2 linked regions of the Lepisosteus oculatus genome follow. The protein of the gene in region 1 interacts with the protein of each later gene in a pairwise test. Links are inferred from orthologs where the notes say so. Each region holds a gene or a part of one and is shown on either strand. Other genes may lie near its edges.

Region 1 (8,116 bases):
TATGAGCTTCCGAAGTGTCCTCCTTGTGCAGCTGTTATTACTGTTTTCTTCGTTAGACCTTTCCTAATGCATCTGATTCAAGGCCTTTGGTGAATTCTTAACATTGTTTTCCTAACCTTTGGAACATATTCTAAATCCGCAGCAAGATTAATCCTGCAAAACACGTTAAAGTTATTCTCTCCTATCCCATTTACTAATTAACTGTCTGGTCAGTGTTCTGAAAACTTTCATTTGGTTGAACGTAGCCTGTTCGAAATTAAATACCTTGCTGTCGTTTATTCTTTCTACTTTTCAGCGTGAAATTAACCTTTATGTGATCCTCTGTTGTTGCCCACAGTGTTAAATTAGTATTTCCTAGCAGTTTTATTCATGAGTCATATCGTATTTTGTGTTGTTTTCCCTTCTCAGCTGTCTCCCTCAACTAAACACATTCCCTGGAGGTCATTATTGACGTCTGTGCCACTGTGGGCCATTGTTGTAGCTCATTTTTCCTACAACTGGACTTTCTACACTCTGCTGACCTTACTACCCACCTACATGAAAAACGTTCTAGGATTCAACATTCAAGAGGTTAGGACTTTTTGAAACAAGCCTGGGTTTTTTTTATCTTTGTCTAAAAATAACATCTGTTATCTCTATAAATTTATTGCTGTTATTTCATTAGATAATTCCAGTAGAACTAGGGCTTTTTGTTAATTATAAATTGTACACTTTGAAGATTTGATTGATAAATCCTTAATGATTAAACATTTTTTATAGTGTCAGCATGTTAATTGTAAACAAATGCTTGGTTTTTATTTATAATCTATAGTACAAATATTATTAATTTATTTTTTGCTGAATGTCAATATGTAATTAACACAATTTTTTCCCATACAGAATGGATTCTTGTCTGCTTTGCCATATTTGGGCTGTTGGATATTGGCACTTCTAGGTGGTCAGCTTGCAGATTACTTGAGAGAAACATGGATGGTTTCTACTGTAAGAGTGCGCAAGTGTTTCTCATTGATCGGTTAGTTGCACAGAAATATCGTTGTTCTTGGAGAGCTCCTGTGATTTCCAAAGCCTGTTCACCCTGATAAATACAACTTGCTATCAGCATTGCTGTGTGTGTGATATGAAGATGCTTCAGATACTTACAGTATATAGCAGATGTTTTTACCATTAATTATTTTAGAGTTGCCAATTTAACCTTCTTGCCCAATTTGGAAATGCTGGTTGCTATAATTTGGCTCAAATTGGCCAGAAGGTTAACCTTCAACCAAGCCAAATAACCATAACTTCAAATTCTCAATAAACCATTTAATATGCCTATTAATTGGCTGTTGTCATTCCCGGTGAACAGTGTGTTGGGAGTCTAGGTCACATTCAGCTAGTGACTTGATCTAGGCCTTTTTGAAGTTGGTGCACTTTGTGGCTTACTTACAGTGGACTGAAGCTGTTATATACTGTAGGTATTGCTTCGGGGGTTTTGAGTGACCCTTGATAAATGCATGCTATTAACAGTGAATTGATAACATATGTACATGAGAAGAATGTAAACAATTATTACAATTAATTAACAAAATGATTGAGCTTTTAAGATGGGTAACAATGTTGTGCTAATAACTGGGCATTTAAAGTGTTCCTTGGTCGGTCGAATTAAGTAATTTGCTTCTCCTAAATTTAAGGATCACTGACATGAGATCTTAATAAAGAAACCATTCACCAAGCATATTTTTTTTCTTTAGGAATGATTGGACCAGCTGTATTTCTGGTGTGTGCAGGGTATACAGGCTGTAATTATATCCTGGCTGTGACTTTTCTGACAATCTCCTCTGCCTTGGGTGGGATCTCTGCATCAGGCTTTAGTATAAATCACCTGGATATTGCGCCATCGTAAGCAAATTTTCCACACTCATTCTTCTTCAACGAAAAGAATTTCTTATTGAAAAAACCTTCAGTTAACCTCTGCTGCTTATGGTTTCTATCTGTTCATTTGCTCTTTAATCTAGGGTAATACTCATTTATTAAAATATTTAAAATGTATATATTTTTCCTTCTCTTATTTAACACAGAAATATAGAAAATGTATGTGTTTTTGAAGTTGTTTATAAATTTGATTATTAATTTTACTTGTGGATGTTGACACATGATGCACATGTCCTCAAAGAAAATGAACTCCCTAAAAGTCTTAATGCTACATAAATTGAAGTATTGCACAGTGCTGAGAAAAAGTTTGTGAACCCTCTAGGCTGGTCTGTATTCTTGTGTTTTTTAGTTCTAAATTATTAGTACTAATAATTCAATATCTTTATTTAAGACTTTCATGAATTTTGTATATAAATGTATCACACAAAGAAGTGATACATTTGAATTATTACATTTTCTCAGCGTTGTATAGTATATAGTCGCGATTTCCTTGTAAAAACATTTTATCTGTTTTTGTCTTATTAGTTATGCTGGGATATTACTTGGAATTACCAATACATTTGCCACTATCCCTGGAATGGTTGGACCAGTTATAGGCAGAGCCCTTACACATTCTGTAAGTCTCATGAATTGGCATAGAAGTATTTTCTTTCTCTTTTAACAGTAACAAGCCTTTACAGAACTATTTTAGTTTAATTATTTAAGATTATGTGGCAACACTCGAAATAATATTTCTACTTTCTATTAATTATTTCCAATGTTTATATAAAGCATTCAGTAAACACATTGCAATGAAAAGTGACAGATGGAAACTGGCTAAAAGAGAAGAGATTTTTTAATCTAAAAGTTATGCTTTCACAATAATCTTTGCTTCTGTGAATGCTGATATACAGTACAGTAAGACATTGTTTTGTACTTTATTGCAGAACACTATTCCAGAATGGCAGACTGTCTTCTACATCGCTGCTGCTATCAATGTGTTTGGTGCAGTATTTTTCACCTGTTTTGGTAAAGGAGTGGTCCAGGGTTGGGCAGTTCCAGATTTTCACTCACATGGCAGCTAAGCTCTCGGAAAACGAATCACTTTCTACCGAAATCAGGAGACCGCGCTGACCAATGTGATATGCTTTTTTCTGTTCTGCTCAACATCGCCAAATTATTTCATTGTCGTCTAATCTTGTTTAAACATGTTACTCAGGATTTTGTCCTTGCACCAAATTTAGTGAGACATAATTGTTAGATTTTCAAACATTTGCTGACAAAAATCAAGCCACCTTTGTGCATCAACTAAAACTAAAGATACTGAATGGCATGTTATTGTTTGATTTGTGTACATCTTTGACATTATTTTTATTAATTATGTATGTTTAATTCAGACTAGTTTCTTGAGGGGGCAGAAGAAGATTAATATTGACTGCCAGTGGCAGTTTATCATCAAGTGTAGGTTTCCTGAGCAAAATTTGTTCTTTGAAGAAAGTATTGTTTATTCTAGTGAAATTGCACAATTGCCATTTCCTTGGGTTTTATACTATTTGTGTTTTATAGCAAAATCCCAAGGTTTTTTTTTAAAACATGGTTAACGTAGTAAAGTGGGGAACTAGTGAGTTACAGTTTCCTATTTGTTGATATTTGGATTTTAAGTACTGTCAAGTATTTAGAAATTTTATTCAGTGCCTTTATTCAGTGTAACATATCTGAAAGCATGATTCTTGAATATTTGGAATATTAATGCCAGTCAGATTTGATGTCTGCAGACGAGATTTCTTTTCACACTCATGTGCTTGTCAGGGAAATTGGAATATGACCCATATTCCTAAATGCAAGATAGAAATAGGACAAATGAACACTATAAAATGCATTATTTAGAAATATTAATTAGCTACAGTAGCTGTATGAAGGTAATTTGTCAGCAGAGAAGCAATGACACTATAACTAAAAAAGTGGTTTATTTTTCAAACCAGATGTTTGGCTTGATTTTGTTTGTTTTTTTAATTCTACACATTGTTTCCTTTTTTATTTCAATTTCGTAAAAGTTACAGCTGTTATTTGTTGTGATAAGGTGATACGTTACTGCTTTAACAGCAACAAAAAGTCAAACTTTATGAAGTTTTGCTCTACTTAAAAAAGCTGACATTTAAAAAAAGAAGTGGCATAGCTTAGCCCCTTTTTTCCTAAATATTTTTAAATTATAATGTTTTTAGTACAGTAGGTTAAGAAATGTTATTGTAGTGAATTCTAAAGACCTTTCTGTACTTCTGTGAATAAGCTTTTAGTATGTAATGGGAATGTGAAGTATATCACATTGAGGCATCCTTTTTGTACAAATATTAATACTCTTAACTTTAATCACAAATAAATAAAAGCACTTTATTTGTTCAGGAACGTGTACAGTGCTGAAAGGAGTAAATCAGTTTAACATGATATTAAGTTGCAAGGGAAATAAAAAAAAACTTTGTTACGACTATAATAATTTGTATCATTAAATACAAATTACTGGTGTATTTTATTTTGTGACAAATGTTAAAACCAATGTACATGTGTGAGTATCTCTTCATCACCAGAAAAAGGATTCTTGGAATTGATCACTTTAAAATGTAAAACTCTTTCTATTCTATTATTTTTATGTGTGGTTTAGTTGTACTATTTAATAAAAGTGTTGTGTTCTCACCAAAACGCAGAGTGCTTAGCGAACTGTATGAATTTATCATAAAAATCATATAAATTTTATGGCACCTGCTGTGAAAACTTTTCATTCTGTACACAATATTTCCTGGTCAATATTGAACTTTAAAAAAAAGTTCCTGAACTGCATGTATAAATGAAAGTTTGTCATAACGAAATCAATCAGCGCTTGTTAAACACCATGGCTTGTATTTTTTTGCGTACCATGAAATTAAGGAGACTAGACGAACACTAGAGACACACCTAGCAAGGGGACTACTCACAAGTTAAACTGCACTTTCACTAAAGATATCCTCAAACCTACTCTGCATCCACCTGCTTAACATCCCTATTAGCATCCTAGCAACAGAACCGCGAATTAATAAAAAAAGAGCGGTGGTAGTCTTTTTTTTTAACGATGATGTTTGCCCTCCTAACGATTACAGTAACGCTACTCTTAAATGTTTTCTCACCGTCCCTGAAGATGCTCTGTCCTGGCTAAGAGGGGGTATTAGAAATGTCAGTCCTGACGACAATTGCTGTACCCCCTCCCGACAGAAATATAAACGGATCAGCGGCGGCGCTCGCTCTTTTCCGCAACGAGCACGCAGAAGCTGGAGGCAGGTAGGACATTCTGGAATGATAATTGCAGCATCTTTGTTTACTGGGAAAGCCTCGTCTTTTCTTTGGCGCTGGGTGGCATGCTGCGCTGGAAATGAGCCAGCTACACGGTGTATTCACGATTGCGATGCATGTGTTAAAAACGTCTGGATTTCTGAAATGGTTATTAAGTTAGAAACACACATTGCGCTAATGAATAACAGCCTTTGAGCATTGAATGAGGGGAGAATATGGCGGCGATGGGGGGGAGGAGTAATCTTCAGACATCTCAATTATGGGACTGTCGCCCTTCACAGCAGTTTATAACCTAAATTTGCAGCTTCCTAATGTTTCATTGGCTTAAGCCGTTCCGTATCGTTATGGCTGATATTTGATTTTTTTGTAGTGGTTCAGAGCATCAGATTAGAATTTCACACAAGGTGTTTTTTTAATTGCATTTGCCCGTTTTTAATATAATAAACCGATTATGCCTAAAGACATTATATATTGCATTAATATTTAAATAAATAGGCTCGAGGGGGACAGCTACGTTTTAAAACGAGGTTGCAGATTTTAAAATAAATACCACATTGAAATACATAAATATAATCCAGGCAGACGTTTGTCAGTTGCCTATTCAGCAGGATCTGGCTGTTGGAAGCATTTGAGAAATCTATCATACAAACTGATGTTTTGTTACCGATTTAAATGTTTTCTTAATTCTTAATAGAGGCGACACCAATACTCGATTATTCCCAGTTACAGGAATGAATATCCTAATTTGTTTTTTTTTTTATTGTGTTGGTGTAAGATGAGCATGTCTGCCTTATCCCTCTGTTGTGTAATGTGAGCATGTACAGTATACGTCTATAATGGCTGCTTTGTCAAGGCACTGGAGATTTCCTACAAAATGGAGGGAACATTGACATATGCACAGTGCTCATCCACCTTGTACACAAATAGAAATCCGTGGAGTGCGAAATAGAAATGACGAATAACTGCCCATCTCCGGAGAAACGCAAAGCAGCTGTCTGGGTGGAGCAGCCTGATGCAATCTTGTGCCAAGGACTTGGCTGCTGAACTTGAGTAGTATTTGCTGTTCAGAAAATGCTCAGATGCCAGAGACTGTGGTTACAAGTAAGATATTAATGCTGGCATACAGTACAATTAACATAACATCACTTTATTAGCCCTGTACATTTTCTTGTATTAGGAATTCATCTTTTCACAAACCCCAGCTTGCTCTCCATGAGACACAGACAGGGAGAGAAGTTTGGGGTCAGAGCACAGGGTCAGCCATTGTACAGCACCCCTGGAGTAGTTGGGGTTAAGGGCCTTGTTCAGGAGCCCAACAGAGTAGGATTCTTCTGCCAGCTGTGGGATTTGAACCAGCAACCTTCTGGCCACAGACGCAGATCCTTAGCCACAGAGCCACCCCTATACTATACATGTCCATAGTATTACACTATAGTATACACCATACTATACATGTCCATAGTATTCATGACACCTGTTAAAGCTGCTGTGGTTATGGTCTGTGTATAGTTGTGGGATATTTTGTGTTCAAATGTGTAACCTTATGTAAATCTTGTGTTGTAGATTCTATTGTTTAGTATCATCAAAAATTCACAATGGGAAAGGAAAAGACTCACATCAACATTGTAGTGATTGGCCATGTGGACTCTGGCAAGTCGACCACCACTGGCCATCTCATTTACAAGTGTGGTGGCATCGACAAGAGAACCATTGAGAAGTTTGAGAAGGAAGCTGCTGAGGTATGTTCACGGTTTAAGAACACCTTCCAACAGTTTTAAAAATTAGAAAGTCTGGTATGGTAGGCTTTATTCTGAACTTGCAGACCATGGGATTACTGTACTTTATCAGGCAGGTGAAGTGATATTAAGCCCAGGTAACCTTGTGCCAATAAACTAGGTTGTATTTTTAATAGTGCCGCATGGTGTTGCTGAAGCACTTGTTACATGCCTGGTTTAAATAGCTTATCGTATGCTAATTGGTTTGTAGATGGGCAAAGGCTCATTCAAGTACGCTTGGGTGTTGGACAAGCTGAAGGCTGAGCGTGAGCGGGGCATCACCATCGACATCTCCCTGTGGAAGTTTGAGACCAGCAAGTACTACGTGACCATCATTGATGCCCCCGGGCATAGGGACTTCATTAAGAACATGATCACCGGTACATCGCAGGTTTGTACAACTGTATTATCAGTAACCGCCATGACAAGTGACCAGACAACAACAACAGCTCAGATCACCTCTCTTTGTCGCCACCTCGCTTTTACAGGCAGACTGCGCTGTCCTCATTGTTGCGGCGGGGGTTGGGGAGTTCGAAGCTGGTATTTCAAAGAACGGCCAGACCCGCGAGCACGCCCTGCTGGCCTACACCCTGGGTGTCAAACAGCTGATTGTTGGCATTAACAAGATGGATTCCACTGAGCCGCCATACAGCCAGAAGAGGTACGAAGAAATTGTCAAGGAAGTCAGCACTTACATCAAGAAGATAGGTTACAACCCCGACACTGTGGCTTTTGTGCCCATCTCTGGGTGGAATGGAGACAACATGCTGGAATCGAGCCCTAATGTAAGTCAGATGGAGCTTACTTGGCTGTCTGGTGTAGCCCATCTTAGGACACATTGCTTGGAATACCCTTTGTGATTTTTGAGCACCTCTTTCTTTTCACTTAAAGATGACATGGTTCAAAGGCTGGAAGATCACCCGTAAAGATGGCAATGCTTCAGGCACTACTCTTCTAGAAGCCCTGGACGCCATCCAGCCTCCCACACGCCCAACTGATAAGCCCCTGCGGTTGCCTTTACAGGACGTCTACAAAATTGGAGGTGAGAACTGTTGGTTTCTGTGTAAAGCAAGGTGTCAAAGGGACAGAGTAGCAGTCCGTTCCTTAACCCACGTGCTCTCCGGCCTTCCCAG
Region 2 (7,675 bases), on another chromosome or scaffold:
TTTCCTCAGTCTTTTTCTTTTGACATTTTTTTTAAAAAAAGCAGTTTATCCTTCTGAAGCGAAGCAGCGCTACTTTCATGCGTGCGGACCGGGACCGCCCCAGCAGGACCCCCGAAATCACCTTGTTGACACTCCCGGGCCCCACCGCCACCACGGTGGCCTGCAGCACCTTCCCCTGCGACTTCTCGGGCAGCATGATCCCGCCCTTGGAGACGGTCTCCGCGGCCAAGCGCTCCACCAGCACGCGGTCAAACATCGGGAGGAACTTCCTGAACGCCTGAGGGTCCGAGAGAGAGGGGGGGAGAGATGAGACTAGCGCCATTCCCAGAAATAACACATCCAATCGCAGAATTCCCACTCCCACAGGAATCAGAAAAGGGAAGAAACTCAAGAGAGCTGCAACACAGTGTGTGATCTGATGACATTGAGCCTGTCTCTCAATAATAATAATAATAATAATAATAATAATAATAATAATACAGTGTGTGATCTCCTGTCCCAGCCTGAGGAGCAGACACTGTCTCTCAATATTATTATTATTATTATTATTATTATTGAGAGACAGGCTCACTGTCTGTTCCTCAGGCTTGGACAGATCACTCAGATCACTCACTGTATTAATAATAATAATAAAAATAATTATACAGTGTGTGATCTCCAGTTCCAGCCTGAGGAACAGACAGTGAGCCCGTCTCTCAATAATAATAATAATAATAATAATAATAATAATAAATAGTGTGTGATCTCCTGTCCCAGCCTGAGGAACAGACAGTGAGCCTGTCTCTCAATAAAGTTTTATATGTTTAATGCAAATGTCCAATAATTAATGTCTGCAAATGGTATGTTAATTGTATCTGGTTTGGCAACACTAATTCACTGGTCACACCACTGATGCCCTGCGACTCCGAGAGAGAAGAGAGGCAGGAGAGAGAGCATCCTCGTCCCGAGTGGGAAAGCAACGAGCGCAGGCCACTCTGACCCCAAGGGCGGAAGTCCTGCTGTCCTGCCACCAGGGGGCAGAGCACACTCCCTCTCCCCCAGAGGCCCAGGGCATGGAGGGAAGTCCTGCACGTGTTCACGCCTTTACTTCACTGCGAGCGGTACATCTGGGTGGCGAAGCAGAGAGATGCCCAGGAGGAGGAGCAGAAACATCGAGTTGCTCAGCTACTCCTCCGAAGGTGCCGACGCAGAGGTGTGAACAACAGGTTAAAAACGAGGATGAAACCACGATCTGGGCATCACGGGTGCCGAGACCCGCGACAACAACAGCTTTGTCACTCGCGATGAGTCGGCAGAAGGAGCCGAGGAATTCGGGAGCAAAGACAGGGGAAGGAGCCGGCTGAGGAATGTCGCAGAGCGCCCGAGGTCTCGCAGCTCAGACAGATAAAGCGGCGTGTGATCAGGGATCCACGAGGTCCTGTCCCTGGCCCGCGCGGAGGAGGAGGAGGAGGAGGAGGGCTGTGCGCGCGACCTTGGATCAAGGTCACTTCAAGGGCACGGACAACAGCGGAGCAGGGGGGAGGGGCGCCCCGTCTGCCAACAGCCTGTGAGCTCTGTAGGGAATTAATTCCCAACGCGTGGTCAAGGCAGCCAGACAGGAAGCATCGTTAATGATTGCCGTCAGCAGAGCACAGGGCAGGGAACATTGATCCTGCCAGAGACACGGGCCTCCCCCTCCTCTCCTGCACACTAGCACCTCATCCCAGAAGTGCAATGGGGTCACCAAGGCGACATGCACCTTCAGATGCAAATTGCACCACTGGAACTGGCAAGTCGTGTTTTAGTAAAAATCACAGGTTTTAAAAATGTCCACCCAGAAAGTTCTGCCCCTCTCCGGGGGTGTTAAGACTTAGCCCAGCCTCAGACTTTCTGTGCTGCGTGAGAGCACATCTGGTTAACTAATTACTTGATTGAAGAGATCATCGTAACTCCCTGTAACTACTGGAGACTGGGAAGGCTTCAATTAAAGGCCTAGATGTGCGACTATCTCGGAAAGAGCAAGGAGGTCACTTCCGAGACGAGCGGGACCTCCAAAACGCCGAGTTCACGTTTCATATCTGCCCCGGATGTGATTGAAGATAAACCGGAGCCACAGTTTGTTCTTCCGTGTAGCAACTTGCGTGATTACAAGGGCACGCGTGCCGAGCCGGCTGACACACGTACGGCAGCTATCAAGAAGACTTTTAAACACACGCATTTACAAAGAATGAACAAAAAAAAACGTATTTATTCACAAAATTAAGTTCCCTTTTTTAAAAATTGTGTTCTTAAAGCCATCTTTGAGAGCAACACTTCTATTTAGACGTCTGTCGATGGTCTACGGGGTTCACACATGCATGCGTTTTACAGGGACGTAACAACTAAACGCCTCCGCCGAGGAAGCAGAGGGCGGACTTTAAAGGCCGGATTCTGTCAGGTCACCTAGGAAGGAACACGGAAAATAATCCAAAAGGAAAACGTTAATGCCAAAGGCAAGACAGCCCGCCGGGTTGCTCACTAGCACCGGTCTGAGGGCCCCGACCTTGACCCCCGGGTCTCTGTCGGTTCGGTAAAGCCCGAATTCCGTCTCCGGTGTCGCCGGAGTCCCCCGCCCGCCCGCCCGCCGGCCCAGTCCGTGCGGCTGCAGGTGTTAAAAACCTGCGACCGCGCCGATCCTATCGTCAGTATGGAGCAGTATCCCCACCTCTGCGCCCAGTGAGAGCCCGCTTTATACCAAGTGTCCAAGGGACCTGCTTTTACAGCGCGCTCACCAGCGTGCTGCTCAGCTTACACGGAGTAGAAAGTACTAGAGAAGGCGCATCGGAGCTTCTGATCTGGATATCCAGACATTTTAAAATTGCTCCATTGCAGGCCGCCCTACGGCACGGCCTGCGTACGGAGCAGAGAGTCTTACCATGCCGACGTGTCTCTATGAACGTTTCTACACACAGCAGCGTGGTTCCACCGCGACCCTCCTGTGTCCTGCGCTCGGGGCTTCTCCACGCGTGAGACTTGGCTTTCTCTCACACACCAGAATCGCCGCCCCACGTGAAGAAATACGGGCGCCCGACAGCGCATGCGCGCCCCCCCCGAGCCGGTTCCTCCCCCTGTCCCGGGTTCCAGAGCCTTCTGGAACCTTCCCGACACGATCCCCCGCGCGCCCTGCAGCCAGCGCGCAAACCGACAGCCGCCCCCGCCTCCTGTGAGTGCATACAGCGGAATTACTGCTTCATACACGGGTGCAATGTGTTTCAAAGCGATGCATTTGGCAGCAGAGCGTGCATCTCCGCCCCCCCCGCCATTGCATCAAAATTACACAACATTCACCTTCGACCCCTCGAACTTTTTTTCCTCCTCCAATGGCGTCCGAGAAGTTTCTGGAAATCGCCTGCCCCGGAACGAGCATGGAGGTTCCCCCCCCTGGCGCGCTCTATCCCACCTGCGTTTAAAGTTACGTTCCCGGAGCCGTGTAACGCGACGGGCGGGCCCCAATGAGGTGTGTGTGTGTGGGGGGGTCTTCACCGCCACAGTCTTGCGCGCCCCCCCCCAGCGGGGCGAGTGTGTGCAGTTATACAGGTTTCGGGGCGGCCCCCAGCGTTACCCGGATGGAGATGCCCATGTGCGCCGCTCAGAGGCCGGAGAGGAGGCGCTTTTAGGCAGCAGCGCAGCTCGCCGTCTTACTTCTTCTGACAGAGCCCACTGCGCGGCGGTCGTCTGTTCCCTCCTGACCTCATCCCATCCACCCCGACAGTAAGTACCCGGGCTCCCCTTCCTCGCTCGCTCGCCGCTGGAGCACGGTTCCGCACGCCGCTCCTGGGGAGCCTGTTCAGTCTCTGCCGTGACGGAGCGGAGCGCTACAGCTCGGTTCGAGCCGACTGAAGGCGGCGGGCGGGCGTGCGTGCGTGCCTGCTCGCGTGTCTGCAGCGGTGGTTCGCTCGGCTGTGGCCGTGAACCTCCTCATTTCGTGTGGGCCTGCCCTTGGCCGCTTCGGGTGTAACTCGTCCGCTTTTCTGTGCCTATTTGTGTTTTCCACTTTACACCCCGAGGTGAGGGATTGGGGGTGGCTCGTTTGTCCTTCTGTAGTTTTCCGGCTGGACTGGACATGAATGATGAGCGCTTGCATCTGTAACGGACGCTGTGGAGGGGGGAGAGATTCTGCTGTCTGCCCGCTGCTGCGCTGCACATCTCGAATATCGCCCAGCACGGCGTTAAGCGCCTGCCGCGTGAAACGGGCGAGCCGAGCGGTTCTGCGGAACCGTGTAGTGCTGTGAGAGCTCCAGTCTGTTCTCGTCAGCGTCTGACTGAACCTCGCCATCCCAGTCAGAGACGGCTACGTCTCTACTGCTAGAAGGATAATGAACTGCATGTATTCGGAGAAGTCGGGGGGTTTTATGTTGGAATTAACGTTTTCAAAGATTGCGCTTTGTTAAGGAGGTTATTGTACTCTTCTCATTAAGACAGTCAACTTAAAAACACATCACTGGATAGTGATTAGTCGTAAGCTCTGCTACGTCTTGCGCTGTCCAGATAGTAGCTTCCACCGCGAGCAGGGATGTCCTCGTGAGCGGGGGGCGCCGATGAAGCTCAGTTCTAGCGAGCTCCGCGTGCGCCGCTGCGCACCGGCACGCTCTCGACGCAGCCACGGCTTTGACCTTGTGGTGCGTGACCCCCGCACGCACGCACGCGGGCGGAAGGACGGACCTTCATGCCGAAAAGACGCCGTGAAAGATTAGGCGCTGTCACAAGACTGAGGGGTGGTTTGTAGTGCGTTTACTTGAAGTGGATTTGATTGTTGTTGTTTTTTTTTTGGCTTCTTGTCTGTAAACAGTTAGGACCCCCCCCACACGGTCTTTATAAAGAACAGTTCTGCGTTCCGAGCCGCCCTATCCCCCACATCGACTTCTAGCTTTTAAAATTACACCTGCTGAAAGTGTAATTACACAGTAAAATAAGAGGGCGTCGGGTCTGTCCTGGCGCAGGAGGCGCTCAAGGAGTCGTGGTTGAGTAATCTGCGGCCCGCTTCGAGCCTATTACCCCGGTCGTGCATTTACAGTGCATTGGCCTTGTGTGCCTTCACGGTTAAGAGCTCTGATAATCCGGCAGTCGCCACACAGCTGTCTAATCGCCACAGATTCCCTTCTCCCGGCGGTGGGTTTTCGAGGGAAGGCCGTGTCCTTACAGGTACGACCTTGGCCCTGCGTGTCCGGGGTGTTAGTGCTGAAGCAGGCCCCTGCGCCTGCTCAGGCTGTGTTGCCATGGAGACAGGCCGGGCAGGGTGAGCTTGCAGTGCAGCCCCGCGCCGTGGCAGAAGTGGGGTGAGCGTGCGCGTCTCGGGGTACACAGCTGGGGTCTGGAGCCGGAACAGGTCCAGGCCAAGGCGCCCCCCCCCCTGTTGCTCCTTGGAAAGCAAGATCCGCGGGATCGCCGTCTGTCCGCCGCTCAGGCCCGTCTCTGCTGCACCCCTGCAGGAAATGCTGCGCTTGCCCACCGTGATGAGACGGATGCGCCCGGCGTGCCGAGCGCTGGCGCCCCACCTGACGCGCTGCTACGCCAAGGACGTGAAGTTCGGCGCCGACGCCCGCGCCCTCATGCTGCAGGGCGTCGACCTGCTGGCTGACGCCGTCGCCGTCACCATGGGGCCCAAGGTAGGGGTGGGAAGAGGAGAGGGGGCGGGTAGGACACCTGGTGGGAGAGGGGGGGGTAGGACACCTTGTGGGAGAGGAGCAGGGGGGTAGGACACCTGGTGGGGGGTGCAGGGAGAGGAGCAGGGGGTGGGGACACCTGGCAGGAGAGGGGTCGCAAGAGGAGAGGGGGCGGGTAGGACACCTGGTGGGGGAGGAGGGGGGTAGGACACCTTGTGGGGGGGGCAGGGAGAGGAGCAGGGGGTGGGGACACCTGGCAGGAGAGGGGTCGGAAGAGGAGGAGGAGGGGGTGGGACACCTGGTGTGTGTGCGTGTGTGTGTGTGATACGCATTGTTTGGCAGTGACGCGTGTACACGTTTGTGTGCAGCAGGAAATGTGTAGCGGTGGGTTGTTTGTGTATGGATTGTGGGTTTGAAGCATGTTGTGCAGAGATGGATGCCTGAGGCCTGAGATTCTGTCCTGGTTCGAGCGCCTTGTGCCTTCGTGCAGGGTCGCACGGTCATCATCGAGCAGAGCTGGGGGAGCCCCAAGGTCACCAAGGACGGGGTGACGGTGGCCAAAAGCATCGACCTGAAGGACAAGTACAAGAACATCGGCGCCAAGCTGGTGCAGGACGTTGCCAACAACACCAACGAGGAGGCCGGCGACGGCACCACCACCGCCACCGTGCTGGCCCGCGCCATCGCCAAGGAGGGCTTCGACACCATCAGCAAAGGCGCCAACCCCGTGGAGATCCGGCGCGGGGTCATGCTGGCCGTGGACACGGTCATCACCGAGCTCAAGAAGCTCTCCAAGCCCGTCACCACGCCCGAGGAGATCGCCCAGGTAAGGCCTTGCGTGAGGGAAGGGGTGCGCCTCGTTGCCCCCAGGGTAAAAGGGAGGGGTACCCCGCTTGACGGCCCTCTCTCTCTCTTTCCTGGCCTTCTTTCAGGTGGCCACCATCTCTGCCAACGGGGACAGCGAGATCGGCAACATCATCTCCGACGCCATGAAGAAAGTGGGGCGCAAGGGGGTCATCACCGTCAAGGTGGGTTGCAGGGGGCTTGTTTTGTAGGGGGCGGTGGGGCGGGGCATCACTCTGAGCTCCATGCCCGGGTTCGATCCAAGTAAATGTCCATTAGGTCCATTAGGAACTGTCCAGTGGGAACTGAATTGGCCACAGCACTGGCCACTGGAAAGAATGATGCTCTCAATCCAGATCTGGAGAGCAACAGCGTGTTGCTCAGTTGTTCACCTTCCCCTGAAGTGTAAGAGTTGATGTATTAAAGAGCCTGGAAATCCTGCAGGAATAGGCAGAGGAAGAGTAGCGGATCGGGGTAGTTCGACAGCAGTGTTCCTGGCTTCTGCATTGCTGTTGCTCTAAAGGAGCTGGTGAAGTGAGACGGGGGGGGGGGGGGTGACTGCTTTTCCACTAGCCTGTGGCTCTCGAGTTGGGAGAAGTGCTCCGGGAATCCGTGTCTGGTGATCTGGGAAGCAGCCTGTCGCGGGTCTTTCCTGGGAGAGAGGTGTGTGAGCTGTGTGATGGGTCCGGTGTGCCGGCTGATGCCGTGTTCTTGGATGTGTGTTTTCAGGATGGTAAGACTCTGCACGACGAGCTGGAGATCATTGAGGGTCTGAAGTTCGACCGTGGGTACATCTCCCCGTACTTCATCAACACTGCCAAAGGTGAGGGCGCTCTGCCAGGCCCTGGCCCTACCCTGTCCCCGCCACACTTCCTCTCTGCAAGGTGGCTTCTGTTTGAGAACTGTAAACTGTTTGTTTTGGGCTGTTTTCTCTTTCCTCGTGGCCTTTCTTTTGAGCGTCTTTCGTAATAATAAGTAGAAACGAAACGGGAGTCATCGGGGAGCCCATCCGCACAGCGACAGAAACGCTCGTGTGTGTTCTTATCAATGTCCTGTCTCTCTGCCCCCCCCAGGTCAGAAGTGCGAGTTCCAGGATGCCTATCTCCTCCTCAGTGAGAAGAAGATCTCCAGTGTCCAGTCCATCGTCCCGGCTCTCGAGATCGCCAACCAGCACCGCAAGCCCCTGGTCATCGTGGCCGAGGATGTGGACG

Evidence for each region. The genes of interacting proteins can lie anywhere in the genome.
Region 2: the proteins of eef1a1a (region 1) and hspe1 interact in a two-hybrid assay, tested with the Homo sapiens proteins (2 studies listed by BioGRID and IntAct, with this or other methods). The link is inferred for Lepisosteus oculatus from reciprocal best matches to the Homo sapiens genes EEF1A1 and HSPE1.

The regions. Positions count from the first base shown.
Region 1 is NC_090712.1:11,006,550-11,014,665, forward strand, and holds the start of eef1a1a (elongation factor 1-alpha 1a), read left to right. Parts: upstream 1-5,110; 5' UTR 5,111-5,196; intron 5,197-6,771; 5' UTR 6,772-6,803; coding exon 6,804-6,947; intron 6,948-7,194; coding exon 7,195-7,374; intron 7,375-7,471; coding exon 7,472-7,768; intron 7,769-7,874; coding exon 7,875-8,025; intron 8,026-8,116. Other genes in the region: slc17a5 (sialin), read left to right, coding at 409-570, 880-1,012, 1,731-1,878, 2,437-2,527, 2,838-2,975. UniProt on the Homo sapiens protein: Translation elongation factor that catalyzes the GTP-dependent binding of aminoacyl-tRNA (aa-tRNA) to the A-site of ribosomes during the elongation phase of protein synthesis.
Region 2 is NC_090707.1:7,077,009-7,084,683, reverse strand, and holds the start of hspe1 (10 kDa heat shock protein, mitochondrial), read right to left. Parts: upstream 3,074-7,675; 5' UTR 2,897-3,073; coding exon 2,894-2,896; intron 278-2,893; coding exon 122-277; intron 1-121. Other genes in the region: hspd1 (60 kDa heat shock protein, mitochondrial), read left to right, coding at 5,451-5,624, 6,112-6,447, 6,554-6,649, 7,194-7,287, 7,538-7,675. UniProt on the Homo sapiens protein: Co-chaperonin implicated in mitochondrial protein import and macromolecular assembly. Together with Hsp60, facilitates the correct folding of imported proteins.